4 linked regions of the Pelodiscus sinensis genome follow. The protein of the gene in region 2 purifies or fractionates together with the protein of the main gene of each other region. This does not show direct contact. Links are inferred from orthologs where the notes say so. Each region holds a gene or a part of one and is shown on either strand. Other genes may lie near its edges.

Region 1 (7,653 bases), on a different chromosome or scaffold from region 2:
TTGTCCTCAATCAGTGCCATCTCCCCGACTTACCTTCTCTGGCAGCAGTGACCTCTTTGGTGAGACGGGCGATGACGCGGCAGGCAGCGTCGTGCTGGTACAGAGCGTGCGACAGCTCCTGGCGGGTGGTCTGCAGCTGCTGGCGGAGTGTGAAGCTGTGCAGCATGACGGCATCCTGGGGGAGGAGCCGCACGGTGAGGGAGCCCACCAGAACTCAATGCTCTGTCCACCCCAGCTCAGCAAGCTCTGCCTACCTGGGTAAGTAGAGTGGGGGACTCCTCCCACCCAACCTCTGCGAGCAAAAAAGGCAGCCCACCTCCCCAGCCAATCAGAAGAGAACCTGTTCTCTCCATTGCCCCAACACCCACCCCATCTCTCCCCACGAGGGCACTTACCCACTCATCCTGAAGGGCTTTCAGAATGGCCGGGATGCTGGTGGCCGAAGGTGGTTTGGGCCGGATCGGGTGGGCAACTGTGAATGGGGCACGTGGACCTGTTAGCCTCAGCAGTGAGGATTAATCTCCTTTCCTGTCTCTTGCCTCTCTACTTCTTCTCCACCCTCAAACACATCCATTCACCCATCCCTTTATCCAGATCCATGTGCACCCTTACTTGATCCTCTGCTTTAAGCCTACGTGAGCCACTTGTGGAAGAGACCCATTAGACAATGAGGATGTTAATGTATCTCTGACGTGAGCATCCTGGATCCTACCATGCCAATCAGGCTAGTGGCTCAGCCAATGCAGTAGCCTGCCAACGACAAGGTTCAGCAGAGCCCCCAAATCCCCAAGATACATCTCTTGTGACAGCGTGAATTGCCCAGAGGAGAACAGAAATCCCCAAGCAGCTGACTCTATTTAACAAGTCCTCTCAGAGGCTGCTGGGAGTGGGAGGAATCTGGGCCTATACCAGCCAAACCCAGATCATTCCAACAAGAGAGAAGAGGAAAAGGCAGCATTCAAAAGGGCTGAAGGCAGAAAGGGGCCAGAGGAGAGCCAAAGTCTTTGACGGATGAAAATATGAAGAGTTTGAGGCACCAAGTTGGCCTACTTCCCCAGGAATTTTTAGACTTTGCCTGAGAGGTAAGAGGACACTAGGGACATGCTAAAGATTTTGGATGTAGATGATTAAACTCAATACTGATTTGCCCCTTTTATAAGGATTCCTACATTCTCTTGGTGTCTTTTCTTCCCCAACACTTTTGCGGAAAAGCGTCCGTGCCAATCTAGACGCTCTTTTCCGCAAATGCTTTTAACAGAAAACTAGACGTAGCCTTTCTGTAATGATCATATCTTCCTGGCCCACCAGGCAATTGCTTGGTGAGCAGTGGAAGCTAAGGCTTAGTCAGAAGGCCAAGTGATGGTAGTGATGATCCACCCAACTTCCTACAGCTGGTGAGACTCGACCATGTCACACCTCTAAATCTTCTCCCCACCGCTTGATACCTTTGATATCTATCAGCTGCTCTTCAGACAGTGGCTGGTTGTTCACTGGGTCAGTCCCATTTTCTGCAATGTACTTTTCAATCAATCTTCGCTCATAGACATGGTTTGAGACTGGCGATACACAAGGGTGCTCTGGCACCTCATTTGAGACTGCAAAAAATAAAAAGATTGCAGTGGTGACAAGTGGACAAACAAAAGAACCTAGGTCCTTACACAAACCCCTTGCTTACCAGAAGACAGAGAAGCTCCAAGACAAAGGTAACGGACACAGACCAATCTTTCCTACAGCCTCTACATGTATAGCACTGTTACCATGCCTTCCCTGTTTATATGTAAGCTATTGTCATCATCCTCATTTATCTTTATTGATTCAAGCTTCTGTGCACCATCTTTCTGTCCAAGGTCTGTTTTCTAATAACGTAGTTAGTCCCTGAATGACACACACATGCCTTTCAACAAGTAGCTAGGTCTCCCTCCGGGCAGATCAGGCAGTTAATGATGAATCTAACCTAACTATGAATTCCATGGCTCTTCATCTGTGCTGTTATATGTAATCTCTAGCATAAGCTGCAAAAGCTTGACTTGCTTTATACATCACAAGCTGTCAGATGTGCACAGACCAGCAGTACCTACATTTGTACAGGGCAAAAAATGTGAGACACACTCAGAAGTGTAACTGTCACGGTTTATGTGCCTAAGGGGAAGGAGCTACCATGGAAAGCTCTCTGAGCTCGTTTCCACGGGAACTGGTAGGATCAGCAGCACTGAAAACCGTACATGCAGATTTTCATCCAGATATCTTAAGTCCCTCCCTCGTGCACCTTTATTTAGTTCTCAGCACCGTGGCAGAGCGGCTCAGGTGCCCAACTACAAGCCTAAAAGGTGCAGGTTCAAGCTGCACTTGACTCCCCCCCCCCCCCGCCCCGCACGAAAGACCACTTCCAATTCACCCCGCTGCAAAATGGGTATCGGGTGAGGCCGGCCATCGCCGCCTGGCTGTGACACCCCCGGCCTGGCCCCGGCCCACCAGCCCGGTGAGCCGGGAGGAGGGGGGGGGGCTTGTCTGTGCTTCAGCCTGCCCAGCCCAGGCGCTGCGCCTCCCGGGACACGGGCCGGGCAGCCGCGGCCTTGCAGGGGCGGACTCAGGTGCAGACTCGGGCGCCGAGGGGCTCGGCACGAACCGGGATCGGGGCCCCCAGGGGACACCCAGCGGGGGGGGGGGGGGGTCTGCAGTCTCCTCCTGGGTCCGCTGCAGAGACACCGGGCCCGCGGGGAGGATCGGTCACCGGGGGGCGACTCAAGCCCGGCCCCTCCCCCCGCGGCCCCCGGCCCGTCACTCACTCGAGCAGATCAGGGACATGGCGGCGTCTCCTTAAGGGTCCCGGTTCTGCTTCCGGGTCACGGGCCCCGTTTCCGGGAAGGAGAAGGGGGGCGGGGGGGAGAGAGAGAGTTTGCGTCCCGACCGAGACCGGCCTCGCGCCGCGTCCACTCGCTCACGCGGGGCCCCAGAGAAGCGCGGCAGACTCCACAGCCCCGCCCCCGCCGGAAACGGAACTCTTCTCCGCATGCTCCGGGCAGGCGCAGCTCGGCAACTTCCGGCTGCCGCTCGGGCATTTCCGGAGGGGGCGAGGTGGTTGGAACTGCCACTCCCGGCATGCCGCGCTTCGTTCCTAGAATGCACTGGGTGCCGCCCAGGGCTGAAACTCCCACAATGCTCTGCGCGGGGACACACTCACACACCTCTATGACTACAATTCCCAGCGGCCCCCGCGCCAGGTGCTAGATTTGAATTGCGCGCCCAGCGTTCTGGCCAGCAGCTGGGCAGAGCTGCCCCCACCCCCACCCCCAGGGTGAGCTGCGGTGCTGGGGCCTGGCAGCCAGGGTGAGGTGCCCAGCCTGGAGCATCCCCCCTGCGCCCCACAGCAGCTTCCCAGAGGCTTTGTGGGCTGCGCCGTGGCAGCCACGGCCAAGGCGCCTGGTTCTGGGGTGGCAGGAGGGGGCAGCCGCTGTGCTGCCAGGGGAGCTTGGCTTCTGGGCTGCCCTCGCCGCTGGCCCCTGGGCTTTGCAGCACGCTGCTCTGCGGGCCCTTGGCAGCAGGCCGGGAGCAAGCCCAGGGCCGAGTTTCCGTGACTCTTCCCAAAGATGGCGAGGAGTCCTGTGGCATGCGTGCATGGGACGAAGTGGGTCTTTGCCCACGAAAGCTTATGCTCCAACGCTTCGGTGAGTCTATAAGGTGCCACAGGACTCCTCGCCGCTTCTGCAGATTCAGACTCACACGGCTACCTCATCTAATACTTGTTCCCAAAGATGGCATTTCTGGCGCTTGCCTCAGCGCTGCCCCTGAAGCACAGAGAGACTCTCCTTTCCCATCAGCAGGCTTGCAGCACCCAGCTGTTCTTTCAGTCTCGCCCAAGCACTGTCAGCTCGCTCTGCCAGAGCTGTGTGTGATGTGATCACTGCCTAAGATGGGTGCAGGTTTGACCTTTGACCTCATTTCCACATGCTATGAGTGCCTGGGGGTCCAGAAGGGTGGGGCTTGGGTGTTGAATTTCTCCCTCTGACTGGCTTGATGCCCTGTCTGTCTGCATAACCACAGCTCACTCACTGGCTGAAACATGAGTCATCCTTTCCAGGAGGCTAGGCAGTTTACAGGGGAGTGTGGGGGGGAGGGAAGCCTGGGGAGAGGTCAGGAAGCCGGTAAGTGGGTATTGGTAAGTGGCTGATTCTCAACTAAAAGGCGAGATCACAGTTACCCTGGTGTCGCTGGGATGTTGTTTGCCTGCTTGACATTCCTGACATTGCGGTGCTGGCCTGGGGCCAACAGAAACACAGGGATTCTATAACTTTGTTAAGTATCAGAGGGGTAGCTGTGTTAGTCTCAATCTGCAAAAGTGGCAAGGAGTCCTATGGCACCTTATAGACTAACCAAAGTGTTGGGAGCATAAGCTTTTGTGGGCAAAGACCCACTTCGTTATGCTCTGTGCCTTTAGTCATCTTTCTCTTTTCCGTTGGCAGAGACTCCTGGGGCAGAGAGGAGAGCCAGAGAAATGACTGGGCGGGATCTTAAGTCCTCATGCTGCCGCCAAGCCCTGCTCCGACTAGCCATGGCTCTCCTGATGTCAATCGCTTTCCTTCATGTGGCTGGGGCCAGCACTCATGGCGAAACCTGGAAAGCAGCCGTCCATTCTGACTTCCTGTCCCAGCTGGCTCAGGGCTTGAGGGAGACTCTGGAGGAGTGGATTGGCCAGGATGCACTTCAACTCGTGACAGAGGTAAGGCTGGAATCCTAGCTGAATCAGGAAAGAAGGGGGGCTGTATTTATTTGTGTGGGGTGCTTGACTGACTGCTCTCTGGGATCAATTGAAATAACTTTGAGCATTGTCAGAGCTGTCATAAGAGGCGAATGTAGGAAGGCAGCATAGTCTAGTGGGTAGAGCAGCCACTGGCACTCAGGAGACCAGGTTTCTCTTCCCAGCTGGACTGGGTGATCTTGAGCAAGGATCCCCCCGTGCCTGTTTCCCCATTTGTAAAATGAGGCAAATGATACTGGGAAGTGTTGTGAGATCTAGTGATGGCAGGTGATTAGATAATACTATCGCCACCACTTAGCTCTTTTTTATTACATACTTTAGGCAAAATAAGTGGCACATGGAGGTATGAATCACTGCTCAGGTTGCACTCCCTGTCTATATCTGCCCTGGGCTGGGGAAGCTAATGACCCAAGCAGCGGACCAAATTCAGTGATGAATCCTAGTCTCGTGCCACCTGCGGCATGATGTGCATACACTGAGAAGAAGGCTAGTACAAGCTGAACCTCTCTAGTCTGGCACTCTCTAGTCCAGCAACATCCGTGGTCTGGCATGATTTTAGTTAGCTGGATGTCCAGTTCTCATGGGTGTGGCCACGTTTCCTGCAGTCCCATAAAGTTTGTTTACAGCCACCAGTTCTGGCTCTCAATGTTCTGTGCTGTTCAGCTCTAATTTACCCCTAAATATCTTCTAGGAGCCCAGTAAGCAGTGGAAGTGCTGGTAATGCCACTAAACAATATTGACCTTCTCTGGTCACCAGTCAGCTCCCAAGGGTCCCAGACTAGAGAGGTTGAACCTGTATAATCCATTTCCAGTGCAGCCTGTATTGGTCAAACCTAGCTTACCCATTTCTAGAAGCTTGGTATTTCTCCCTCTTCCCCTCCCCTCCCAACCCCTGGGATTTCTGACCAGGGAAGTTTAGTTCAACTCAGCCAGCTGCTCTGCCAGTAGGCAATATGTGTGCCAGAGTCTTGGTTCTGCCATTAGAGACATAAGTTCTATTCCTAGCTCTTCTGGCAGCAGCTCCTTGCAACCTCTTGCTTATCCGATCAGTCGAGTGACAGCTGCTTCCCAAGGTTGGGGGTGGGTGAGACTTTGCTTTATTAAGGGCTGATAAGTGCCCAGAAAGGATAAGAGCATAAGGATGGTCCCACAGTTAGGATATTGGTCTGAGGCCCAGGGATCGGGATTGAATTCCCTGCTCTGCCCCAGCTTTCACTTGGTGACCTTTGTCAAGTCCTGTAGCCTCTCTGTGTATCAGCTCCCCAGTTATCAAAGGGGGACAACAGTCCAGCCCTGTTTGGGCTGTGAGGATAAATACACTGAAGGTTGCAAGGAGCTCAGATACTATGGTAAAGGGGGTTGCAAAAGCACGTTAGACAGAAGGAGCTTCCTTTTTTTCTTTCCTTCTGGGGTGATGGAGCCAGCTGGCTGGTTCAGTAGCACTTCAGAGCATAAGATCTTATCAAGTGAGTGTGATATCAACATCCGGACCAACTTGTGCATTGGAGGGACTGGCACACTGACACCAGTGGAACTTTGAAACAGGATGCGCTGGCATCTGATTAGCTGAAGGTTTGGCATATATTTCCTAAATACTTGTGTCTCACAGGGTATGGCTACACTGGTGGGGGGGGGTGCATTTCAGAAGAGATACACAAATAGCACTCGCATTTGCATACCTTCTTCAGGTTTTTTCCTTGGAAGAGGCTTTTCTGCTATTTGGCTCCGTCTACACCTCTTCTGAAAAAAAACCCTCTTTTGGAAGCCCCCGTAAGCCTCATTTTATGAGGAAGAAGGGGGCTTTTGAAAAAGGGGGAGGAGGGTTCCGACTTTTGGCCACATGTAGATGGGGCCAAATGGCGGAAAAGCCTCTTTCGGGGGGAAAAAGGCTAGCACTATTTGCATACTTCTTCCGAAACCCCTCCCACAGTTTAGCCGTACCCTGTGAGATACAAGTATTTAGGAAATATGTTATCTTGGATTCAGGAGCCACAGGTAGCCTGTTTGCTCTGGGCTGGATTGCAATCAGCTGGATATAGTTGTATGGGTTATTTTTGGTTTTTCAACTGGATGTTTTTAATTTATTTAGATCAGTTTCTTTATTTTTTTTAAAAAATCTGGTTAAAATCCTGAATTTCAAACTATATTAAGACCCACATGTCATCTCTTAGAACATTTAAATGAAAAATCAAGTTGCTGTAGCCCTGAGCCTCTCGCGAAAATGTGTTAATGACGGCTTTCCTAGATAAAGAATAAGGGGTAAAATTCTCACTTGAAATCATGCTTTCTACATGTGGCAGAACAGGTCATGTCATGTATTAAGGGGGGGCGGGAGACACAGGCTGTGCTACTAGGAGCAAGAATCTGATCTAGTCATATGGGTGTTGAGATCATCTGGCCTCTGATTCTGAGCCACTGCCATGTGCCTTCGCACTAGGGAACAAACAGATGTACCAAATGTAGTGTCGAGGCTCTATGTAGTTATAAATCAGCATGTTCGAAGGGTAGCTCAACCAAGAAGAACACGCTTCTGTTCTTTAGAAAATAACTGTACTACAAGTGGAACTGTTAATTAAAACTGATTTAAAACCGTGGCTTTCCACTTGATGATCCAAATTACTGATGTAAATTGGCTTGATATAAATCAGTCCACCCTAATTGCAGCCATGCTGAGCTTGGCACCAGGCCCAGGGGATGGTGGGAAAGGGGACCCCGCACCACCTGTGTGGTTTTCCTGGGAGGGGACTATTTCAGGCCCTAGTGAAGTTAGAGCAGTTTCAGGGGCTGCCCAAGGCCCCAAGAGGCTGCCCTCGCAGTCAGGAACAGCCAAAGCCTTGTGGCACTTCCCCAAGAAAGACCATAGCACTGTACCTACACTGGGAGCTGCTGGTGTAGAG
Region 2 (8,007 bases):
TCTGATCTCACTGGAACTAGCATGCACCCAGCATCCCTTTCTCTGTTCGACATGGACTGTTGATATTGATGTAAGATGCAATACACATTCCATGCAAGCCATCTCTGTTTGTTTAGGTATCAGACGAGGATGAGATCCTACCTCATAAACTCCAGGCTGCACTTGTACAGATTTTGGAGGAACGAAATGAAATTTTATCCCAGGAGCAGGTGTACACACAAGGTGATTGTATCAAAGTGTTTGCACTATATGGAAGCCTGAGAGATTTGCTCTGGTCAACACAAAAACACATGTAGATGGTGGAAAGTGACTGGTGCCATATATTAGCAAGCTATTTCCATGTGACTCACTGAGAGAAGCTTTACTATTTGAGTGGGTTATAGAAAAAGGCAGAATGAGAAATGCAATGCCCTAATTTTGCCCGATCCACATGAGACAGAGGTTCTCTTAGCAGTATATTTGAGTTTGTGTAATCCTTTTAATCAATGCACATTTAATCAATCCTCTTCGTTAATTAGAAATTAGAATTTCTGTACTTCAGTGTAGTATGACATGTGCTGAATTGGAGTTTTATACAATAGCTTTTAAACTTGCTCATCTCAAAAGCACTTTACAAAATAATGAATCATTCCAGGAAAGTACATCTGCAGGTCTGTACTAAGCAATCATTCACATTAAGTTAAAATACCAATTTTGCAATTTCTATTTACCACCATCACACAATACTGGAATGAAGATACTACATCTATTGGATCTTTCCCTTGCCAGTGTGGTCTATTAGCTATCAATATGGGAAGATTAGTCCGCATACTGTACAATATGAAACTCTGTTGTTCAGTCTGAGCCACCCAGTCCTATTCAGCCAGGACTTTTTGGAGAAGCAAAGGCGATACTCTCCCAGAAGTATCACACTCTGACTACTGCAATGTGAAATAGACTTTTGTCCTTTCCCTGGTAGGTGATGTAACTTTGAACTCCCTGGTCTCTGAAGCTTTTGTACAGTTCTTTGTGGAGATTGTAGGACATTACTCCTTGCACATGAATGTCACAGAGAAAGGAGAGCGGGTGTTCCAGCGAGAGCCATTTCGAAAGTCACACACCTCCCGTAATGTGCGCCATTTCCTAGACCTGTTCATGGAAACACAGATGTTTGCAGGATTCATACAGGACCGGGAACTCCGTAAGAGTGGGGTCAAAGGTGAGACCTGCTATTCCAGCTGCTTCATCTTACTTTTGTGGTACAGAAGTCAACTTTGTCTACAATGTGATATATTCATTTCTAAGTGACCTCAAAAGGATCCACCTAAGGTTTTAAAATAATATTGAAGCTGGTTCAGAAGAGACCAAGGGACCCTAATCATAGTAAGAATCCAGGAACTGCTCTATGCATGCCATGGCATTTTGGCCTATATAATGCAGGACTTACTGGGGTCTGAAAGGTGCTGGTACCTTTTATCCCTTTGCATTTTCCAAAAGAAATTATCTTCACTAAACCAACTTTTCTCAAATGGAAAGCAGAAACTCCTTTAGGGTTTGATCCTGTAGCTCAGGGCTACTCAACTTTGGAAGCCCTGGGGGCCGCAATGATACTTACAGCACGTCACGAGGGCTGCAACTTAAGTGTGGTTGCATATACATCCAAATATATATGCAAATTTATGTAAATAGCTTTTCACACTGACCATGTATGTATACAAAGATGAAGGCAAGACTACACAACATGCAGGCCCCATTTAAGTCAGTTCTATTGACATGCGTTTTAGTAGTTACATTCCTGGACTGTCATTGTTCATTAAAAGTGCTGTCATATGGGTGGAAATCGGGTTGATATTGCATTTTATTAATATCAACAGAAGACTATTATATTGACTATTTTGTGTTTTGGCTCCCACCTGTGTTGAGCCCCGTGTAAACCCAAACCGCACAATGGGCCACAAACAAACAGGCTGCAGGCCACATGCAGCCCATGGATTGTATGTTGAGTAGCCCTGCTGTAGCTCTTAAGTACATTACATTAGCAAGAGTATGTGCCAGCCTCATGGGAGCTCTAATAAATTATGCTTTTTGTTATCAATGGTGTGGCTTGTTCCATTTCTTTGCATATTGCAGCTCAGGTGGCTAAACGATTTTCTTCCTTAGGCCTGTTTGAGGTCCGTGCCTTGGGGTATTTGGAGACTATTCCAGAGACAGAACCAAGCGGGATGAACAAAATTCTTCGCAGTCTGGGTAAATGTTTGGTTTTGCCGTTGGTCGGGTCAGTTGTTGAGCCTGTGTATAAAAGTGTCCACTGAACAAGGTGGAGTTTAGCCAGAAGGGGGAAGCACATTTTCTACCTTGCATAGTCATATTTACTTTTCTTGGGTGCTGTTAATACCCCAGAATATTCAAAATGAGCTGCAATTCATTTATTTACAATTCTACCCCGTGCCAGTAATGGTACTTCTCAATATGCATATTGAGAAGTCTTTGGCTAAAACAAATGGTGGTAGCGCTGTCCCTGAAGACATAAAATAGGGCTAGATGAAGATTTTGGGAACAATCTTGCATTGGCTGAGAATGAATTGAAGAGCCTTAATTAATTTCCATCACAAACTGTTTTGTTGGTCAAAATGGCTTGTCTTTGAAACAAGAGATATTATTCAATTAACTTCTTTGATTCTGGAGTCTAATTAGTGTTCTAATTAGATGTTTCCTTTTCTTGGTAGGAAGCAAAATGAAATTTCTTCACAGAAAGTGAAAACAGGTGCTGAAACACTGATGAAGAGGAGTTTTGCATACAAATGCTGCTGTCCAAATTGTCAGACCTACTCACTGAGATACAGCTCAGTCCATGGAAAGCTCAAATAGTGGGAGAAAATGGAAAAGAAGTACAATCCATCCTATACCTGCTTTCACTGGAGCATTGCAGAGGCAAACTGGAAATGGATGCAGATGAAGAACTTCATGCTGGAGATGCTTAACACATTCTCCTCATCAATGGGGAATTTAAAAGGGGAGCTTTTTCGTTGTGAAACTTCAGACTCCATATTTTTGCTGCTTGGCTTGATGAGCCATTTTTTAGGAAAACTTTTCTGTTTGGTTAAATCCAAATCAGCATTTAAGGAAGAAACTAATGTGATCCTACAATGGGTCTGTGGGCCATGCTGGATCCAAGCAACAGGCTGTGCAAATTCTGGCACTAAGAACCTGTTCAAGGAGTTGCTTCAGAAGCTGAAAAGACTGCTCTGGCTTGCCTTATGCCCTCTCTCCTTGGAGTGCACTTTCATACACATGGTATATGGTTTTGATAGCATGGAGCCATGTTCTTGGCTGATCTGAGATCAGAAATAGCTTTTCATTTAGTGTAAACAAAGTTCCAGTTTATCACAAAGCTTTACATTTTTTAAACCAAATGGAAATGTCAGCTTATTTTCTAACTTGTCCTATATTCTGATTTTACAGTGCCCAGAGCACCTCGCCCTTTATGCTGACATATGGAACAGGCTTATCCTTTACCTTATCACATACACTTACCTGCTGTAAATTTGGGCTGGGTGACTTCCACAAATTAGAACTGTAATTCTCTTGGGATAAAATGGCATCGTCACAGAGGGAGCCACATTCATTCTTTAAATTTTGGTATTAAAAGCAATTAATTTAATGTTGAATTACTGCAAATGAGAGGACAGTATCTCAAGGATGCATATTGCTGCAGGTGCTGAGCCAGATTTTCAGAAGGATATAAAAATCCTTTTTTCCTTAAGTGCCTTGGTACAGCAAGAAAGTTAAGTTGGATAAGATACCAAAACGCAGCTATTCTAGTTCTTTGCTGTTGAAAAATGTAGATTCCTCAGCATTCAGTGTTGGGGAAGAATAACGTTAGTAGGTTATGGCAATTGAGTCCTGTGATGGTTTGAAAATAGTTAATACCTGCCTGGGTTTGTATAATAGATTAATGCCAGTTATTTATTCAAATCTATTGATGTTCCTTTATTGTAGTTAGTGAATTACTTAAACAAGTCTGTTGGCCTGACAGTGCAGCTGGAGGCTGGTTTCTGATAGCACTTTCTCATAAACAGTTGTTTACGTGGCACTGATGGACTCTGACTGAATCCTGTGTAATGACAATGACTGCTGTAGTGAAATGAAAAGTCTTCTTAGTGCTCCAACCTAACGTAGCACGTACTAGTTGTATACAGTGTTGACATACAGAATTCATACATGAGTTTGAAAAGTCCCCAGTGGAGCTCAGTTCCTTGTATAGAACAACACTTGGAAGGGGCTTATATTCCCAATAGCAGTTTGTCCATGTCTACAGGGGTATGATTTTGCGTAAATACTTTTAAGAGTTTTTGTGTTCAAGTATTTGCGTAAGAGTGTTTGCAGGTGCCTGTGCCGTGGTGCACGAGGTGTCCACGCCAGTGCAGACGCTCTCTTGTGCAAGAACGCTCTGATGGCCATTTCAGCCCCTGGGCTTTCTTGTGTAAGATACTCCTGGTGCCTGTGCCCCCTGGGGCAGCCGGGCTTCTCCAGGAGCGGGCGGCGCATGGCTCCGGCGCACGAGGCCCTGATTCCTGAGCCCATGGCTGCTCTGGCCCAGGAGGTCCCGCCCGGAGCGGCCGCCCAGCCCCTGCCCCGCGCTCTGGCTGAAGGGGGCGCAGGCCCCTCAACGTCTCCCGGGAGCGGCGGGGCGCGGGACCCCGAACCCGGGGGGGGGGGGGGGGGGGGCTGACGCGGGCTTGGCGCCCCCCGCTCTGCCTCGGGCGGGACCGGCCCCGCGCGCTGGGACGAAGCGGAGCTGGCGGTTAACGGCTCCGGCTGCAGCCCCCGCCGCACGCTCAGGCCAAGCCAGGGAGGGGCGCAGGGCCCATCCCCCCGGTCTCTAAGGAGACGCCGCGCGCCAGGGCCAATGGGCGGGGAGGGGCGGGCTGAGGGGGATCCAGGTGGCGCGTGCACCCTACGCAGCCATAGCGCGCGGGTCTCTGCGCCTGCGCACAAAAGGCAAGCGGACCGGGGCGCAGGCGCGCTGAGGGCAGGGGCGTCGGGGTCACGGCGCAGGCGCAGCGGAGCGGAGCGCGCGGTCGCTCTCACTGCTGCCATGTCGGGCCCGGGGCTGGTGGCCGGCGAGGTGGCGGTGGACGCGCTGCCCTACTTCGACCAAGGCTACGAGGCGCCGGGCGTGCGGGAGGCGGTGAGTGGGGGGGGAGAGAGCGCTGGGCCGGGTCGTGTGTGTGTGTGTCGGGGGGGGCTGTCCCCGTGTGTGTGTGTGTGTGTGTCGGGGGGGGGCTGTCCCCGTGTGTGTGTGTGTGTGTGTGTCGGGGGGGGGCTGTCCCCGTGTGTGTGTGTGTGTGTCGGGGGGGGGGCTGTCCCCGTGTGTGTGTGTGTGTGTGTGTGTGTCGGGGGGGGGCTGTCCCCGTGTGTGTGTGTGTGTGTGTGTGTCGGGGGGGGCTGTCCCCGTGTGTGTGTGTGTGTGTCGGGGGGGGCTGTCCCCGTGTGTGTGTGTGTCGGGGGGGGCTGTCCCCGTGTGTGTGTGTGTGTGTCGGGGGGGGGCTGTCCCCGTGTGTGTGTGTGTGTGTGTGTGTGTGTCGGGGGGGGCTGTCCCCGTGTGTGTGTGTGTGTGTGTGTGTGTGTCGGGGGGGGCTGTCCCCGTGTGTGTGTGTGTGTGTGTGTGTCGGGGGGGGCTGTCCCCGTGTGTGTGTGTGTGTGTGTGTGTCGGGGGGGGCTGTCCCCGTGTGTGTGTGTGTGTGTGTGTGTGTCGGGGGGGGGCTGTCCCCGTGTGTGTGTGTGTGTGTGTCGGGGGGGGGCTGTCCCCGTGTGTGTGTGTGTGTGTGTGTCGGGGGGGGCTGTCCCCGTGTGTGTGTGTGTGTGTGTGTGTCGGGGGGGGGCTGTCCCCGTGTGTGTGTGTGTGTGTGTGTCGGGGGGGGCTGTCCCCGTGTGTGTGTGTGTGTGTGTGTCGGGGGGGGCTGTCCCCGTGTGTGTGTGTGTGTGTCGGGGGGGGGCTGTCCCCGTGTGTGTGTGTGTGTGTCGGGGGGGGCTGTCCCCGTGTGTGTGTGTGTGTGTGTGTCGGGGGGGGCCTGTCCCCGTGTGTGTGTGTGTGTGTGTCGGGGTGGGGGCTGTCCCCGTGTGTGTGTGTGTGTGTGTGTGTGTCGGGGGGGCTGTCCCCGTGTGTGTGTGTGTGTGTGTGTGTGTGTGTCGGGGGGGGGCTGTCCCCGTGTGTGTGTGTGTGTGTGTCGGGGGGGCTGTCCCCGTGTGTGTGTGTGTGTGTCGGGGGGGGCTGTCCCCGTGTGTGTGTGTGTGTGTGTCGGGGGGGGCTGTCCCCGTGTGTGTGTGTGTGTGTGTCGGGGGGGGCTGTCCCCGTGTGTGTGTGTGTGTGTGTCGGGGGGGGGCTGTCCCCGTGTGTGTGTGTGTGTGTGTGTGTGTGTGTGTCGGGGGGGGGCTGTCCCCGTGTGTGTGTGTGTGTGTGTGTGTGTCGGGGGGGGGCTGTCCCCGTGTGTGTGTGTGTGTCGGGGGGGGGCTGTCCCCGTGTGTGTGTGTGTGTGTGTGTGTGTGTGTGTCGGGGGGGGGCTGTCCCCGTGTGTGTGTGTGTGTGTGTGTCGGGGGGGGCTGTCCCCGTGTGTGTGTGTGTGTGTGTCGGGGGGGGGCTGTCCCCGTGTGTGTGTGTGTGTGTGTGTCGGGGGGGGGCTGTCCCCGTGTGTGTGTGTGTGTGTGTGTCGGGGGGGGGCTGTCCCCGTGTGTGTGTGTGTGTGTGTGTCGGGGGGGGCTGTCCCCGTGTGTGTGTGTGTGTGTGTGTCGGGGGGGGGCTGTCCCTGTGTGTGTGTGTGTGTCGGGGGGGGGCTGTCCCTGTGTGTGTGTGTGTGTCGGGGGGGGCTGTCCCCGTGTGTGTGTGTGTGTGTGTCGGGGGGGGCTGTCCCCGTGTGTGTGTGTGTGTGTGTCGGGGGGGGGCTGTCCCCGTGTGTGTGTGTGTCGGGGGGGAGGCTGTCCCCGTGTGTGTGTGTGTGTGTGTGTGTGTCGGGGGGGGGCTGTCCCCGTGTGTGTGTGTGTGTGTGTGTCGGGGGGGGCTGTCCCCGTGTGTGTGTGTGTGTGTGTGTCGGGGGGGGCTGTCCCCGTGTGTGTGTGTGTGTGTGTGTGTGTGTCGGGGGGGGGGCTGTCCCCGTGTGTGTGTGTGTGTGTGTCGGGGGGGGGCTGTCCCCGTGTGTGTGTGTGTGTGTGTCGGGGGGGGGGCTGTCCCCGTGTGTGTGTGTGTGTGTGTCGGGGGGGGGCTGTTCCCGTGTGTGTGTGTGTGTGTGTGTGTGTGTGTGTGTGTGTGTGTGTGTCGGGGGGGGGCTGTCCCCGTGTGTGTGTGTGTGTCGGGGGGGGGCTGTCCCCGTGTGTGTGTGTGTGTGTGTGTGTGTCGGGGGGGGGCTGTCCCCGTGTGTGTGTGTGTGTGTGTGTGTGTCGGGGGGGGGGCTGTCCCCGTGTGTGTGTGTGTGTGTGTGTGTGTCGGGGGGGGGGCTGTCCCCGTGTGTGTGTGTGTGTGTGTGTCGGGGGGGGGGCTGTCCCCGTGTGTGTGTGTGTGTGTGTGTCGGGGGGGGCTGTCCCCGTGTGTGTGTGTGTGTGTGTCGGGGGGGGCTGTCCCCGTGTGTGTGTGTGTGTGTCGGGGGGGGCTGTCCCCGTGTGTGTGTGTGTGTGTGTGTCGGGGGGGGGGCTGTCCCCGTGTGTGTGTGTGTGTGTGTGTCGGGGGGGGGGCTGTCCCCGTGTGTGTGTGTGTGTGTGTGTCGGGGGGGGGGCTGTCCCCGTGTGTGTGTGTGTGTGTGTGTCGGGGGGGGGCTGTCCCCGTGTGTGTGTGTGTGTGTGTGTGTCGGGGGGGCTGTCCCCGTGTGTGTGTGTGTGTGTGTGTGTGTCGGGGGGGGCTGTCCCCGTGTGTGTGTGTGTGTGTGTGTGTGTCGGGGGGGGGCTGTCCCCGTGTGTGTGTGTGTGTGTGTGTGTGTTGGGGGGGGCTGTCCCCGTGTGTGTGTGTGTGTGTGTGTCGGGGGGGGGGCTGTCCCCGTG
Region 3 (7,852 bases), on a different chromosome or scaffold from region 2:
TCCCCCAGCCACTGACCAATCTCCACCGGTCAGCCCCGCTCCCCCGACGACCCTCCCCCACCAGTCCTGCTGCCCCCGTCCAGCCCTGCTTCTGGCACCTGATTCTCCCATCCTCCTCCTCCTGATCTCCCCCGGGCAGCTCTCCCTCCTCCCATGCAGTCCTGGTTCCGCCGCCTGCCCTCTCCGATAGCCGCCGGCGGACAGCCCCGCTACCCCCAACCCTGCTTCTGCCTCCCACCTGCCCGCCGCCCCCCCAATCTCTGCGGGACAGCCCCACTCCCCCAACCCTGCTTCCGCCCACCGCCCGCCCACATACCCAGATCTCCACGGGACAGCCCCGCGCCCCCAACCCTGCTTCTGCCTCCCACCTGCCCGCCGCCCCCCCACATCCACAGAAATTCATCTTGTGAATTTCTAGGGACTCTGCATATGGCCAGGAATGAGCAATGAACTTGATTTTGAAATGCAAATAAATGCTTCTCTTGCATTTGGATCACCCAATCACTGTGCAACAGGCATCTCTTCTGAACTCCTTCAAGCCTTTTATTTAAAAGAAAAAAAAAGATCGATGCTTCTGCACAATAGCCTTTACCTGATAATTCAAGCACAACCTCGGCTCCATTCCACCCTACTTATTTCTGTTCCACTGCTCACAGTCCATCTCACAGTCCATCTCCATAGCATTTTACAAGAGCTCACAGTATAGAATTTTCTTCTATGCACAGAGTTTAAAGTAACTGAAATCTCTCTAGGGGAGGTTTTGGATCTCTCGGTGATCTCTACAGGCCAGTGCATATCTGTGGCATTGGTGTAGTGCAGCGTGCTGCTTACAATTCCATCGTCCAGGAATGGAATACCTGTAACCATATATGCCCTACCCAGAGCCCTCCTTGCCCTGGACATGGATTAGAATGCTCATTGCTCTCCTTACCCCAAATAAACTCGTTTGTCATGACGAAACTTCCTGTTAGTCATGTCACCATGGTCCCGGATAATCTTCCTCACATGTTCTGGGGGCATGTCCTCCTTCTGGGCATCCACAAAACCAAACTTCCTCTTCTCAGCATACCGCTTTGCCTGCAGCTGCTGCCATTTGCGGGCTACACAAACAAGAACACACACAGTCCAGTCCAACCAGAGCACCATCATAAAAGAGACTCCAAATCAACATGAGCCCAAAATTACATGGATAGTGAATGTACAGAGCTCTACTAGTAATGCAAAAAGTATTTTGAACAGGGTACAAATCTTTATGCATCAGAGTTTATACCATCTCTAACCCCACCAGGGAGCAGGAAAAGGCACTCTCACACCTGCCTACAGTTGGCCTCTTGCACCGTGCTCTGAGTTATGTAGTGCTGGAGACAGGACACTGGCCCAGAAGGACCCCTGCTGTTATCCAGTCAGGCAGTTCTCTATTCCTGTGCAACCACCACCTTTGCATTCACATTCTCCTCCGATTCTCCCAATGATGCCTGGCGTATCGCACTGGCAAGAGCAAAGAGTTGCAAGAATCATAGACTAACAGCTGTGATTATAATTGCTATGTTGTTTACTCTGAACAGAGTTTTACTGCTAAAATACATGCAACTGACAGCAGTCTGCTTAGGGCAGTCTCACAGGTTGCAACAGAATAGTGAGAAAAACCCAGCAAAACAAAGTAGGGCAAATGCTCATGCACCATAAATCAAATGAACTGAACAGCTTAGTGAGCAGAATACGATGTCTGACATAACACAACCAAAGGACACAGAATTCACTGTGGGGCACAGAGCCTGCCTGGCCTTTGCCTAGCTGTTGCATGGACCTGGGACCTCTCTGTCACCGCTTCCAGGAGTGCATAACCCACAAACCCTGTCTGGGACACATTTCAATAAGCTCTTGCACCTTTCTCCTGCAGCTTCTCTTCAGACATGTAGTCGGGCAGTGGAGCCAAGGGACTGGGCACTGGGGCACAGCCCCCGCGGTAGGGAAACACTCCAGCCATGGAGAGGCAGGCTAAGAACCAAGGGGAGGAAGGAAGAGCAGGCTCAGGTTAGTCAATGCCCGCCACAGAGCGGAAACACACCCAACGTCACAGCCCTCTTCTCCCGCCCCCCGCCGCCACCAGCGACCCCCACACACCCCGCCCCCTCCTCCCGACCCCCCCGCACACCCCGCTCCCTACACCCCGACCCCCCCGCCCCTCCTCCCGACCCCCCCGCACACCCCGCTCCCTACACCCCGCCCCCCGCCCCCTCCTCCCGACCCCCCCGCACACCCCGCCCCCTCCTCCCGACCCCCCCGCACACCCCGCTCCCTACACCCCGCCCCCCCGCACACCCCGCTCCCTACACCCCGACCCCCCCGCCCCTCCTCCCGACCCCCCCGCACACCCCGCTCCCTACACCCCGACCCCCCCGCCCCTCCTCCCGACCCCCCCGCACACCCCGCTCTCTACACCCCGACCCCCCCGCACACCCCGCTCCCTACACCCTGACCCCCCCGCCCCCTCCTCCCGACCCCCTCGCACACCCCGCTCCCTACACCCTGACCCCCCCGCCCCCTCCTCCCGACCCCCTCGCACACCCCGCTCCCTACACCCCGACCCCCCGCCCCTCCTCCCGACCCCCCCGCACACCCCGCTCTCTACACCCCGACCCCCCCCGCACACCCCGCTCCCTACACCCTGACCCCCCCGCCCCCTCCTCCCGACCCCCCCGCACACCCCGCTCCCTACACCCTGACCCCCCCGCCCCCTCCTCCCGCCCCCCCCGCACGCCCCGCCCCCTCCTTCCGACCCCCCCGCACACCCCGCTCCCTACACCCCGACCCCCCCGCACACCCCGCTCCCCACACCCCGCCCCCTCCCCCCGCACCTGTCTCCGCTCAGGCCCCTCGTGCCTCGCCCCGCGGCCTCCCGCTTCCCACCCGCAATGGCGGCCCCCGAGCGTCGCTGCAGCGCTCCAAGGACCCGGATGGGCTGAGGGGGCGGGGCCAGTGGGCGCTCTGACCATTCAGCTCTCGGGCTGGTGACAGGTGGGCTCTCCAGCCTATGAGCATCCGCGACCGGCTAGGAGGCGGGTCCGGCCAGCGGAAAGGGCGGGGCTTGCTAGGTCAGGCGCGCGGGTTTTCTTCCGGTCGGAGACCCTCCCACAGCTCGTGTGGAGCCACGCCCCCTGCAGGCCACGCCCCCATGCGTGGCTGGCCGCTGTTGCCCCTGGACCCTAACGATGGCGCCAGTGGGCTGCGGGCCCTGCCCTGGGCTGGTGGAGGCTCCCAGCAGGCACCAGAGCCGGGCCGCTGCCGCCATCCCTGGGCAGGGGCGGGCGCAGCCGGAGCCGCTCAGCCCAGGCGCCATCTGCCCGCCCCCGGCAGCCGCCCAACGGCCCATTTACTGCACCAGCTGCTGCCTGGCCGGCCGGGCCCCACCGCAGCCCCCGTGCCCGTCGGGCCTGGCCTCCCGCGGCTGCGCTCTGCTTTGTCCTCGCCTGCCGCCCTTCGCACGTGGCACTGACCTGCTGCTCTGAGCGGGACGGCCGGGCCGCACCCGAGAGCCAAGGCCTGGGCATGCCAGGGCCAGCGGCGCATTCAGAAGCTCTGCGGGGTCGGGTCGGGTGGGCGGTGCCTTTCTTAAGGGTTCATCGCACATGCACAGGTTCACCCGACTCCTGCACCCCGTAGGGGCACGGACAGACTCCGCCAGCCAGTAGAACAGGGGGAGTTTATCGCTTCTCCAAGGATGCAGCACAGCACAGATGGAATCAGGTTACAGGGCAGGCCTAGGATGCCTCAGCCCCCTTGAGATGGGGGTGACTGGGCCCCTAATTCCCAGGCCCTTGCTTAGGCTGCTTCCTCCATCATGCCAGACAGAAACTGACCCTCTTCCAGCCTTGCCCCCCAGACAGGGGTAGGTCTCCGCCTTCCTCCCTTTGTCTCTCTCCCTGGGAGGGGACCTGTCGGACAGGTTGGGAGACCCTTGCCTAGTGACTCATCCGCTGTCCTGTTGGGCCGTGCTACAAATAGCCGCCAGTGGAGGTCACCCACTGCCCAAGCCCAGCAACCAGCAAGGCCCCCCCCCCCCCCGTACCACACTGGGTTGTAGAGCAGACAGCACCCCCACTACGTCACAATCACCTTCTCAGCTTTGACTGTCACTGGGCCTGAGCACCTGCTCTCAGAGAATTGGCCACCAGGATGCCAAGATCTTTTTTTTGAGTGGTAGCAGCAGCTAATTTAGACCCCATCATTTCCTATGTCAGGGTTACTCACCTTTGGAAGCCCTGTGGGCCATAATGATACTCATAGCACCATAGGCATGCGCACGGGGTGTACCAGCTGTGCCCAGGCACACCCTAATGTCTTGGGCCAGCTAGCAGCTGCTGAAGGAGGAGGGGGACTTGAGCTGGGGAGCCGCAGCCCCTAACTTTCCCTGCGGCCATCTATGGGGCACTTTAGGGCAGAGAGAGCATGTGCGCAGAGGACTACAGACCACCCCTGTCCTTCCAGCCCCGTCCTCGGCCAGCCCGGCAGCACTGTGCAGCACCCCTCCTGCGCCCCGGGTCCCAGACACGGCCCCACCCAGCCAGGCAGCACTGCATGGCGCCCCTTAAAGTGAGGCACCCAGGGCTAGGGCCTGGCTGGCCTGTAGCTGGGGCCGGCTCTGACTCCAGCCCCACAAACTGGAAGACAGAAGCCAGCTTAGCCAAAGGTAAGGTAAGATAAGGGAGAGGAGGGGAAGGGGGAAAATTAGGGGGCAGAGGTGAGAGAGGAAGGGGCTTGTGCTGAGAGGAGGGGGGCAGGTCAAGAGAAGAAAGGGGAAGGCACCAAGGGACAGGGTAGAGGAGAGACAAATGCCAGGGGGCCAAGTGCAGACAATGAGGAAAAGGGCAGGAGGGGAGGTGTTAGTGGGAAAGGAGACAGGGTGATGCTGGGAGAGGAGAGGGTAAGGGCTTTGGGGGTTAGAGGGAGGAGGGGGAGGTGCTGGGAAAAGGCATGAAAGAAGGGGTGGGTATGAGGCAGGGATAGAGCAAGACGTGTGAGGGCACAGGGGCATGAGGAGAATGGGGGCAGAGGGTGGTGAGGGGTTGAGTATTAGGGGCAAAGGGGGCAGGGGCAGTAAGGGAAGGGGAGGCACCAGGAGGGTGCAGGGCTAAGGGAAGGTGCAGGTGCCAGGGGATTCTGGGGTGAAGCAGAAGGGCAGACACCTGCAGGGGAGGGACCAGCACCAGAGGAGAGAGGCAGGGCAGGTGTAGAGGGAGGTGTTAGGAGAGGTGATGAGGACGGGTAGCTCTAGGGTTACCAGGTGTCCGGTATTGTACCAGACAGTCCGGTATTTGCACGCTCTGTCCAGTAAAAAAAATGAGAAAATACCAGACACGTGCAACGTGCGGTATTTTCTGATTTTTCCGGCTGCGCACCGGACAGAAGCCTGGCGTGTGCGGGGGAGAGCGGCTGGGAGGCGGGGCCGCGATTGCCACCAGGAGCCCTCAGTCGGTTGAGTGTGAGGAGGAGGGGGAGCCTCCTCCTCACTCGTGAGTCGCCAGGAGCCTGCGCGGGACAGGCAGCAAGTGCCCAGGTCAGTCCTGCTCCCCGCCGACCAATTTGCTCACCCCCCCCTTCTCAGCTGGCTGTTTCTCCCTCACTTCCCCTCCTGATCTTCCCCGACCAGCCCCCCTGCACCCTCCCCAGCTCTGCTTCCCGCCGTCCCGTTCCTCTTCCTGATCTCCCCCAGCCAGGGCCGCTGCACTGCCCCCCCGCCAGCTCTGCTTCCTGCCCCCCTTTCTCCCAGCCACCCTCACGGCCCCTGATCCCCCCAGCTGTGCTTCCCGCCCCCCCTTACTTGCAGCCATCCCTGCCCCCTCCCAGCCGGTCCCCCCTCCCCTGATATTCTGCGTCCAGCCCCGTTCCACCCGGCCCCCCTCCCCACAACCAGCCCTGCTTCCTGTTGGCCCCCCCATCTCCTCCGGCCAGCCCTGTTGCCCCACCATTAGCTGTTTCCAGGCCCCCCCATCTCCTCCCCTCCCCGGCCAGCACCACTCCCTTCCTAGCCAGTCCTCCTCCCCCTCACCCCCCCCCCCCGAAGCATATCCGGATTTTTGGGTTTTTTTTAAATGAGTACCTGGTAACCCCTAGCAGTGATCCAGGTCCTTGGAGTCTATTTTTTTTTCCACTCAACAACTTTGGTGTCCCCCCTTTTTTTTCCTTCAACAAAATTTTTCCCCGTCTTTTTTTTTGGGGGGGGGGGTTCAGTATTTTTTTTTCAGCCATCTGGCAACCCTAGGTAGCTCACATGAGTAGAGTGGGGCTACTGGAGGAGTGGGCACAGGGGGGAGAGAAGGACTGGTGGAGGGGGGCAGGTTGCAGGAAGGCTGAGGGCAGTGAGAAGGGCAGGAGTCAGGACAGCAGAGGGAGCAGCAGGCACCAGGGGAGCTGATGGAGCAAGGGGAGCCACGGCAGCAGAGGGAAAAGGTAAAGGGTTATAAGATATTTATTAATAACTTGGGTGGCACATTGAAACAAGCCACATGAACTCAGTACTGGTGCACAACACAAAATTCATTCTGCTCATGGGAGGAAACTTTTAGAGGGACACTTCCCCCAGCCTCTCTGCTCCCGAATTAATGTCACACACATTGGGGTAATGCAATTGCAGGATAGTTGCATACAGGGGTGGATGAGAGTGCTGTGGGGCCCAGGGCAGTGCCGCGGGGCCCAGGGCAGTGCCGCAGGGCCCCGGGCAGCAAAATTTCACGGCCCCCCCCTTTGACACAGCGCATGCGCCGTGGTGCCAAGGTGCATGCGCGGGGCCTCGGGAAGTGCGGGGCTCAGGGCAGCCGCCCCGCTCGCCCTGCCCTAAATCCGCCGCTGGTTGCATAAGGGGAGCTTGGTGGGGGCCAAATTAATTCCTGTTGGTAGGAGGATGGTGGAAAAAGTCCTTGGGGGGGTCACATGACACCTTTTACTTCTGGTCATGTGTCACCTCCGGAGGTGTGGCCAATAGGGGTCAGGGGCGTGGCTAATGGGGATCAAAGTACATTTAAAAAAAATTCTCTGGGTGCACATCCCAATGAAATGTGCTGTGCATGCATATGCAGCTCACGTGTGGTTGCAGATATATGCAGACAGCTTCTTTCGCACTGACAGGCATGAACACAAAGATGAAGGCAACACTACACAACACGCAGGCCCCATTTCAGTCAGTTCTGCTGATATTAATAAAATGCAACATTCCCCCATTTCCGCCCTTACAACAGCACTTGGAATGAGCAATGACAGTCTAGGAATGTAACTACTAAAACGCATCTCAACAGAAGACCGTTATATTGACGACTTTTTTGTTTTGGCTCCCACCTGCGGGCTGTGAGAGCCCCACGTAAACCCAGACTGCACCACGGGCCGCAAACAAACAGGCCACATGCGGTTCACAGGCTGCATGAGTAGCCCTGGCCTATGTAAGGGAAGTCAGGGCCCATAGAGACACTTAGACACCCCCCAACTGCAGCTACCCCCTTCTCATTGGTTTGCACTGATGAGCTCATTGTGGGAACAAACCAGAGAGGAAACCCAGCCCTGAGGCTCATCCCCATGCACAGGAAGCCTGGATGAATCAGTCTCCTACTTCACTGAGTAGCCCAGAGAGAAGTTAACCCCCCGCCCTGTTATTTCCCTCCTACAGTCTAGCAGCTGCTTGGAGAGCAGAGGAGTCCTGGCCCCCCCAGGAAAGGCAGGGTGCTGCAGACCGGGGCCCCAAGACTCTTCGAGGTAGATGTAACGCAGCCTGTTGTAATACCAAAGCCCGGAGGTAACAAGCAAGGTAGAGGTAGGAGGGGAGGGGATAAAACCCCCACCCAGTCTCAGGTGCTTTTTCTGG
Region 4 (7,197 bases), on a different chromosome or scaffold from region 2:
TCCTTTCCTGCCCATAGTGTCAAAAGCAGCTAATACTTTCAGGCTTCTGTTTGCCACCAACATAACCCAGCTGCCTCCTGCCCCCTGCCTACAGTGCAGGCAGGAAGGGGTTAAGACCTAAGACTGCTTTGAGCGCTAGGGCTCAGGAACCTGGCAGCAGAGGCTTCAGCAAAACCAGCCAGAGAGGTGGCTTTGCAAAGGAGGGCACCTAGGGAATGAAGCAGGACCCAGAAGTGGGTGAGGGCTGGGCAGCATGTAAATAGAACCTTCTGGCACCTGCCTGCATTCATCAACTACTGCAGCCAATGCCAGCTAGATGGGGGATGCGGCTCTGCTGATTGAGAACCAGCATGCAGCAAGAGCTGCACTGACAGACAAGCTGGGAGAGCAAGCTACCCCCCGCCCTCCAGCTTTGCAAACCCACCTCTATTGTTGGCCATTGGACCCCTTCCCACTGCTTTTGCGTAAGTAGCTGGCAAGCAGGGATCCAGCCAGCCCATACAGCTGGACCCACCGTAACTGATGGGAAGGAGACACGAAATACAGAACAATTTGCCCATTTTTAAGAAAAGGTCAAGACAACTGTAGGAGGGCATAAATACAGGACAGACCTTTAAAAAATGGGACATCTGGTCACTCTTTTTACTGATGGGGAAACTGAGTCAAAGAGTGATTACATGGCCTACCACTGATAACATGGGAAAGCAAGTATATCTTAAATCTGGGTGGTTTCCAAATGGCTAAAACACTTTGGCTAATTTGTAATCATGTGAACTTGCAAGTTGCAGAAATATCTTATGCTCAAAAAGAACAGTTTCTTCATTAGAGGGATAGCAAATAATTTTTACACAGGTGGATACCTCAGCCACCAATGATGCCAGTGTCCATTGTGCTATTTTTTTAACACTATGAGGTTTATCATACCCTGATGAAATTTCAGGAACAATCTGGGATAGGCCAGCCTCAATCACCCACATTTTTAATTTGTCCAAGATGAAGCCCTACTCTTCCCCAAACTACTCATCATGACTCACTACTACCCAGAACCTTGGTTTCATGTTTCAGTGGAAAGACACCACCAGAGTTCTACCTATTGTCAGACACATATGTTGTTTGAATCATGTTTGAGAAAAGAACATCCTCTTCTTCACCAAAACTTTCTTCTGCACAAGTTGGGTCTTCCTTTACTTCTTCAGTAAACACGGTAACATGTGAAAGTGTAGTCTGAGGAGAGGAGACATGGTTGCGGCAGGGGCAGTTTACACAGTTTTAAATACACCACACTCATATTAATTATTTGGCAATTATATGGCAGCACCTAGGGACCACATTAGGAACAAGATACAAGTGTGCTAGGTATTGTACATGCAGAATAAGAGTCGCCCTGCTCTAAAGAGTTTACACTGTAAATAAGCAAGACAAAGAATAATATCTAATCTTAGTAAACAATGAGATGTCAGCAATAAGGTTTTTCTTAATAGTGGGATGGAGTTATGTTGTTGAAAGCAGATTGGCTAAAAAAGGTAAAAAATTGACATTTAAGGAGGAGAAGAAATAATGGGAGCTGAGAATGAAGATGGAGTAAATGAGCAGGAATAGGGAAGCAGAAGCCAATAGACTGCCATTACAGAGGCAAGTACTGCAGTGTAAATGCTGTAAAAACCAGCAAGAAGTTGCTGACATCTACAGGTTGCTGCTGCAGCTGTTTTCCTTTGCTCTTCCTGGTTGAGTTTCTAGCTGGCTCCTGCCAGCACTTCCTTTTGTCGTAACTCACATGGTTGAGAAGTATGGGACTGCATAGGCTCTGGTGCACCAGACAGGAGGTCTCCCCTACACAGTGTTGGGTCTGGAGATGCTAGAAAAGGGAAGAAGAGCAACCTTAACTGGATTACAGTTCCTGTTTCTCTTAGTGGTACTACTGTACTTGCGTCAGCTGTTTGTTTTTCCTCTATTACTGCTGCGTAGTTGTGAAAAAATGTATAGGTGCAGCCTTCTTAGAGCTTAACCAGTGTAATACATATAGCTGTGTGTTGTGATGAAAGGACCAAGTTAGGAAAAGGTCCAAATGCTTAAAATGTAAAAATTCAAACACCTTAAATCTGGCTTCAGGTGAGCATGGATGTCACTATATCAACCAAACTTTACCATGTACCTGTATTGTAAAATTAGAGGCACAATAATACTTTGTTAAATCTATAATTACATTTAATGCAAGTTTAATTAATGCACATGAAAGAAAAATATTTCCTTTATTTTTCCAGTTTAATTGGTGTATTTGACAGCAGTTGGGTACAGATAGTCTGTTTCCTCTGTGTGGATCTTTCATACAGCAACGAGGGAGAAGAAAACATTTTTAAAGCAGTAAAAATGTGTAAAAGTCATTCTTGTCCCAAATTGACTTAAGATTGTGGTATGACCCCTGCTTTTTGTATTGGCTGTTGAATGAGCCACTGATAGTGAAGACTGCCGCAGGGTCTGGAAGAAGATCCATATTTTGAATTAATAGAGTATCATCTTCTCCCAGATGCCCTCTGAAACCTCTACAGAATGCTCCAGTTCAGATTTCTGATGTGGCTCTCTTCTATGGACATCTCAGAGGGGTCGTTGTGTTGGTCTGTAACTTTAAAAATGAGTAGTCCTGTGGCACCTTATCGATTAACAAAAATATATATAGTATCATGAGTTTTCGTAGGCAAAACTCACTCATCTGAAGAAGTGGGTTTTGTCAACTAAAGCTCGCAATACTATATATATATTTGTCAGTCTGTAAGGTGCCACAGGACTACTCATTGTCTCTATGGAAGTGCTTGTCTAAGGCTCCCTTTGTAAGGAAAAGGTGGCTTCCTTGACTACCAGCTCTGCAAACGCAATGTGGAATGGGAAACCAGCCTAGGGCAATCTCAGCAATGCACACATGCATCCCACTTCAACCCAAGGGACACTTTCTTTACAGACAGGCACTTCACTTCCACACACTGCCATACCAAAGCATAGTTCTGCCTCCACAGACAGCTCCCCACCCCAAAGCACTGCCTCACCTTCAGACAGCTCCTCACCACCCTATCCTGAGAGACGCCCACCTGCACAAACAGCTCCTAGCCCCAGGAGACACCCACCTCCACAGAGAGATGAACAGCTCCCTTCCCCCAGCCCAAGAGGTACCCACCATCACAGACAACTTCCCCCCCCCAAGAGCCACTGAACCGCAGACAGATCCGGAGATCTCACCTGCACAGGCTCCCCTCCTGAAGAGACACAATATACACAGATGATAGACAGACAGCTTTCCACCCACCCTCCCAAGAGATACCCCCCTTGCACAGACAGACAGACAGCTTCCACCCCCTCATCCTAAGGGACATCCCCCCCTTGCACAGATGGACAGAAAGCTTACCACTCCCTCATCCTAGGGGACCCCCCTGTTGCACAGATGGACAGCTTCCCACCCCCTCATCCGAAGGGCCCCCCGTCCGTTGCACAGACGGACAGACAGCTTCCCAGCCCCTCATCCTAGGGGACCCCCCCATTGCACAGATGGACAGCTTCCCACCCCCTCATCCTAAGAGACACCCCCTCGTTGCACAGAAGGACAGACAGCTTCCCACCCCCTCATCCTAAGAGACACCCCCTCGTTGCACAGACGGACAGACAGCTTCCCACCCTCATCCTAAGGGATCCGCCGCCCCTTGCACAGACGGACAGACAGCTTCCCACCCCCTCATCCTAAGGGACACCCCCCCTTGCACAGACGGACAGACAGCTTCCCACCCCCTCATCCTAAGGGACCCCCCCTTGCACAGACGGACTGCTCCCCCACCGCAGTCCCAAAAGACCACCCCTGCAAAGTCAGACAGAAGGACAACTCCCCAACCCTCCCCCCGTCCCAAGAAACACTCCCCTGGACAGCCTCACTTTGCTTTATAAACCCACACACTCCCCCTCCTGCGCCCACCGTCCCACGAGGCTCCCACGTGCGGGATCAGCCCCAGCCCCACTCCCTCCTACCCGCCTCCGCCGCGTCCCTTTTCCAGCCCCTAGTGTCGGCAGCTTGCACCAGCCGGCGGGGTTCTGTGCCCGCAGCACCTCCAGGCACCAGGTGGCGCTGTGACAATTCTCCCCCGGCCTGTGCCAGCTATTCCGTCTCCCCCTCCCTCGTCCTTCACAGGAGCTGCGCACGCGCAGCGTTTGTCATCCGCCCACTAGCGGGCGCCGCGTGCCCTCTCAACGCGCCTGCGTGCAGCTTCGAGCCACGAGCTAACGGCCCGTCGGCTCGGAGTTTTGACACATTCCCTCCGCCCTCGCCCCCACGGCGCCTGCGCAGGATCTCAACCGGCCGTAGCGCGAAGAGGGGTGTCTCTACCGCGCCTCCGCCGACTCTTTTCTTCTGGAGCCCGCTCGCCTCCGCCGCCAAGATGCCGCGGATTATGATCAAAGGGGGCGTGTGGCGAAACACCGAGGTAGGGGCCGCTTCCCGCCGCGGGCCTAGCCGCTGAGACGCCGCTCCGCAGCGAGAAGGGGCAGTGGCGCGCATGCGCTGAAATGGGGTGGATGGGGGTTGTGCGCATGCGCGGAGCGTGTTGTCGGCATAGTCTGAACTACTTTTATGCGCCTGGGGTTCTCTACCGCCCCTCCCCCCCTAGCTCAGCATTCGCGGGCCCCAGGGGGCGGGGCTCGGATCCTCATGGGCCCTGTGTGCGGGGAGCTGCCCCCTCTGCAGCGTGGGGCCCCTAGTGTGTGGCATGGGCAGGGGCTCTGATCCTCATGGGCCCTGTGTGCGGGGAGCTGCCCCCTCTGCAGCATGGGGCCCCTAGTGTGTGGCATGGGCAGGGGCTCTGATCCTCATGGGCCCTGTGTGCGGGGAGCTGCCCCCTCTGCAGCGTGGGGCCCCTAGTGTGTGGCATGGGCAGGGGCTCTGATCCTCATGGGCCCTGTGTGCGGGGAGCTGCTCCCTCTGCAGCGTGGGGCCCCTAGTGTGTGGCATGGGCAGGGGCTCTGATCCTCATGGGCCCTGTGTGCGGGGAGCTGCCCCCTCTGCAGCATGGGGCCCCTAGTGTGTGGCATGGGCAGGGGCTCTGATCCTCATGGGCCCTGTGTGCGGGGAGCTGCCCCCTCTGCAGCATGGGGCCCCTAGTGTGTGGCATGGGCAGGGGCTCTGATCCTCATGGGCCCTGTGTGCGGGGAGCTGCCCCCTCTGCAGCGTGGGGCCCCTAGTGTGTGGCATGGGCAGGGGCTCTGATCCTCATGGGCCCTGTGTGCGGGGAGCTGTCCCCTCTCTAGTCTGGGGCTCTCAGTATTTAGAGTATTTAGTATTCTGTGTGTGGAGAGCTGTTCTCACTGCAGTCTAGGGTCCCTAGTATGTAGCATGGGCAGAGAACCCAAATCCACATCAGCCTTTTGTGTGTTGGGAGCTGTCCCATATGTAGTCTGCCCTCCCTCCCCCATAGCATCAACAAGGAGCACAGATCTGTACAGGCCCTGTGTACAGGAGCTGGTTCTGCTGTAGGCTGAGGTTCACAGTGTGCAGCATAACCAGGGGTCTTAGATCCATATGAGTGCCTGTGTGCTGGTAGTGGTCCCTGTGTGCATGAATGGGCAGGGACCTGTTGGAACTGGTTCTTCTGCAGCCTGGTGTCTCCAGTGTGCAGCATAAGTAGGTGGCTCGTATCCCCACGGGTCGTGCGCGCTGGGAGTTGTTCTCGCTTGCAGGCTGCTGTTCACTGCAACGTGGACAGTTGGCCAGAGCCACATGGGTCCCTGTGTGCTGAAAAGTGTTCCTGTCTGCAGTCTGCTTTACCTGCTTCCTATGAGGGAGGGTGAGGCTAAGTATAGCTTGCACTCCTATGGTAAGAAGCATTTCTGACAAAGCAAATATTTGATCCTTTACATAACTAAAGTTTGATCATATCCTGACCTAACAAGCACAAACAATTCCCTCTATTAGGCAAGACTTGTATTCTCCTATCTTCTCAGACATCCAAAGATACTCTCTCCTCTTCATCTTTATCTTCTCAGGGGATGGTGACCTAAAGACCCATCACCTCTGAGGGCTGCTATCATCTGTGGTGACTGGTTCACAGTAAACATGTGTAGCTAAATGATGGTCATGGGAAAATTGCCAGTGATTATTTTTACATCATAGCAATGTTACTTGTGATGCTAACTTATAGCAAATGGTGTCTTATCATACTCCCCTCTCTCACTATATTATTATGCAGAGAAGACTTTTTAATTTTTTAGAAAGAGCTAAACATTCCCTTGACATATCTCAGTCCAAATTTCAGAGCTTCAAGTTAGTCACAATGCAGTCTGAAGTAGGGATGTTAAATGTCAGTTAGTTGAATAGTCGAGTAACTTATGAATTCTCATCGATTACTCGACTATTCTATAGTCCCCAGGGGCAGGGCCAGCAGCCAGTGTAATCCAGCCCCACTCCTGAGGATCACCCTGCCACTCCATGTTGCTGCCTCTGATACAGAGGCAGCAGTGCTCAGGGCCAGGCAGAAGCTGGTCTGCGAAGGGAGCCAGTTTAAAAACCACCTCCCCTCATGGACTGACTGCCTGTCACGCTATGATGCTGCTTCTTATACAGGAGTGGCAGCAGCTCCTGTCTTGGGTGAAGGGTAGGTCTGAGCTCCTGCCTGCTTACTTCCTAATACACTTTAAATGCAGAGCCACAGCGGGGATAGGTCCCAGACTCGGTGCAAGCCAGGACTGAGACAGGCTACTGGCCAGCCTCCTAAAAATTGTACTAGGTAGCAGTGGGAAATGCATGTAGTCTATAGCATTAACCTATAAACTTTTGCTTATTGCTTAATTGGTTAATTGACTACACTGTTACTGAAGATTTACGTACACTAGGTATGTAAGCCTTGTGCTATGTGTTCTGTGGTATAAGGCTTATACTGCAGAGCCCTCAGCACAGTCAGCAAGTCAACTCCCAGTGCCTGCTGGCTCCCAGCTGTTGGCCTTCTCCCGGGGAGCCGGCTGCTGCTCCAAGCTGTGGGCTCTGAAGTATCAGAGCCTGCAGCACAAGGCAGCAGCAGGCTCCCTAGGAGTGGGGCCAGCAGCTAAGAGCTGGGGCCATTGGGTGTGTAAACCACTCCCAGTGAGCACTGCCTCTTACTCCAGCTGCTAGCCCCATTCCCGGGGAGCCAGCTGTGCTGTGGGCTCTGCAGTATAAGGCTTATAAGCTTATGC

Evidence for each region.
Region 1: the proteins of BCAS2 (region 2) and PRPF19 purify together in Homo sapiens (co-immunoprecipitation; 10 studies listed by BioGRID and IntAct, counting the BioPlex papers as one, with this or other methods). This does not show direct contact. The link is inferred for Pelodiscus sinensis from reciprocal best matches to the Homo sapiens genes BCAS2 and PRPF19.
Region 3: the proteins of BCAS2 (region 2) and PRPF8 purify together in Homo sapiens (affinity purification with mass spectrometry; 3 studies listed by BioGRID and IntAct, with this or other methods). This does not show direct contact. The link is inferred for Pelodiscus sinensis from reciprocal best matches to the Homo sapiens genes BCAS2 and PRPF8.
Region 4: the proteins of BCAS2 (region 2) and CDC5L purify together in Homo sapiens (co-immunoprecipitation; 8 studies listed by BioGRID and IntAct, with this or other methods). This does not show direct contact. The link is inferred for Pelodiscus sinensis from reciprocal best matches to the Homo sapiens genes BCAS2 and CDC5L.

What each region holds. Positions count from the first base shown.
Region 1 is NC_134714.1:125,215,417-125,223,069, forward strand, and holds the start of PRPF19 (pre-mRNA-processing factor 19), read right to left. Parts: upstream 3,007-7,653; 5' UTR 2,806-3,006; coding exon 2,787-2,805; intron 1,596-2,786; coding exon 1,446-1,595; intron 473-1,445; coding exon 396-472; intron 176-395; coding exon 34-175; intron 1-33. Other genes in the region: voltage-gated monoatomic cation channel TMEM109, read left to right, coding at 4,061-4,142, 4,461-4,717. UniProt on the Homo sapiens protein: Ubiquitin-protein ligase which is a core component of several complexes mainly involved pre-mRNA splicing and DNA repair. Required for pre-mRNA splicing as component of the spliceosome.
Region 2 is NC_134737.1:737,777-745,783, forward strand, and holds the start of BCAS2 (pre-mRNA-splicing factor SPF27), read left to right. Parts: upstream 1-4,998; 5' UTR 4,999-5,077; coding exon 5,078-5,170; intron 5,171-8,007. Other genes in the region: DENND2C (DENN domain-containing protein 2C), read left to right, coding at 117-222, 959-1,198, 2,140-2,226, 2,706-2,737. UniProt on the Homo sapiens protein: Required for pre-mRNA splicing as component of the activated spliceosome. Component of the PRP19-CDC5L complex that forms an integral part of the spliceosome and is required for activating pre-mRNA splicing.
Region 3 is NC_134731.1:1,006,097-1,013,948, reverse strand, and holds the start of PRPF8 (pre-mRNA-processing-splicing factor 8), read right to left. Parts: upstream 3,012-7,852; 5' UTR 2,859-3,011; intron 1,999-2,858; 5' UTR 1,988-1,998; coding exon 1,888-1,987; intron 1,101-1,887; coding exon 932-1,100; intron 1-931. UniProt on the Homo sapiens protein: Plays a role in pre-mRNA splicing as core component of precatalytic, catalytic and postcatalytic spliceosomal complexes, both of the predominant U2-type spliceosome and the minor U12-type spliceosome.
Region 4 is NC_134713.1:10,746,222-10,753,418, forward strand, and holds the start of CDC5L (cell division cycle 5-like protein), read left to right. Parts: upstream 1-4,195; 5' UTR 4,196-4,412; coding exon 4,413-4,457; intron 4,458-7,197.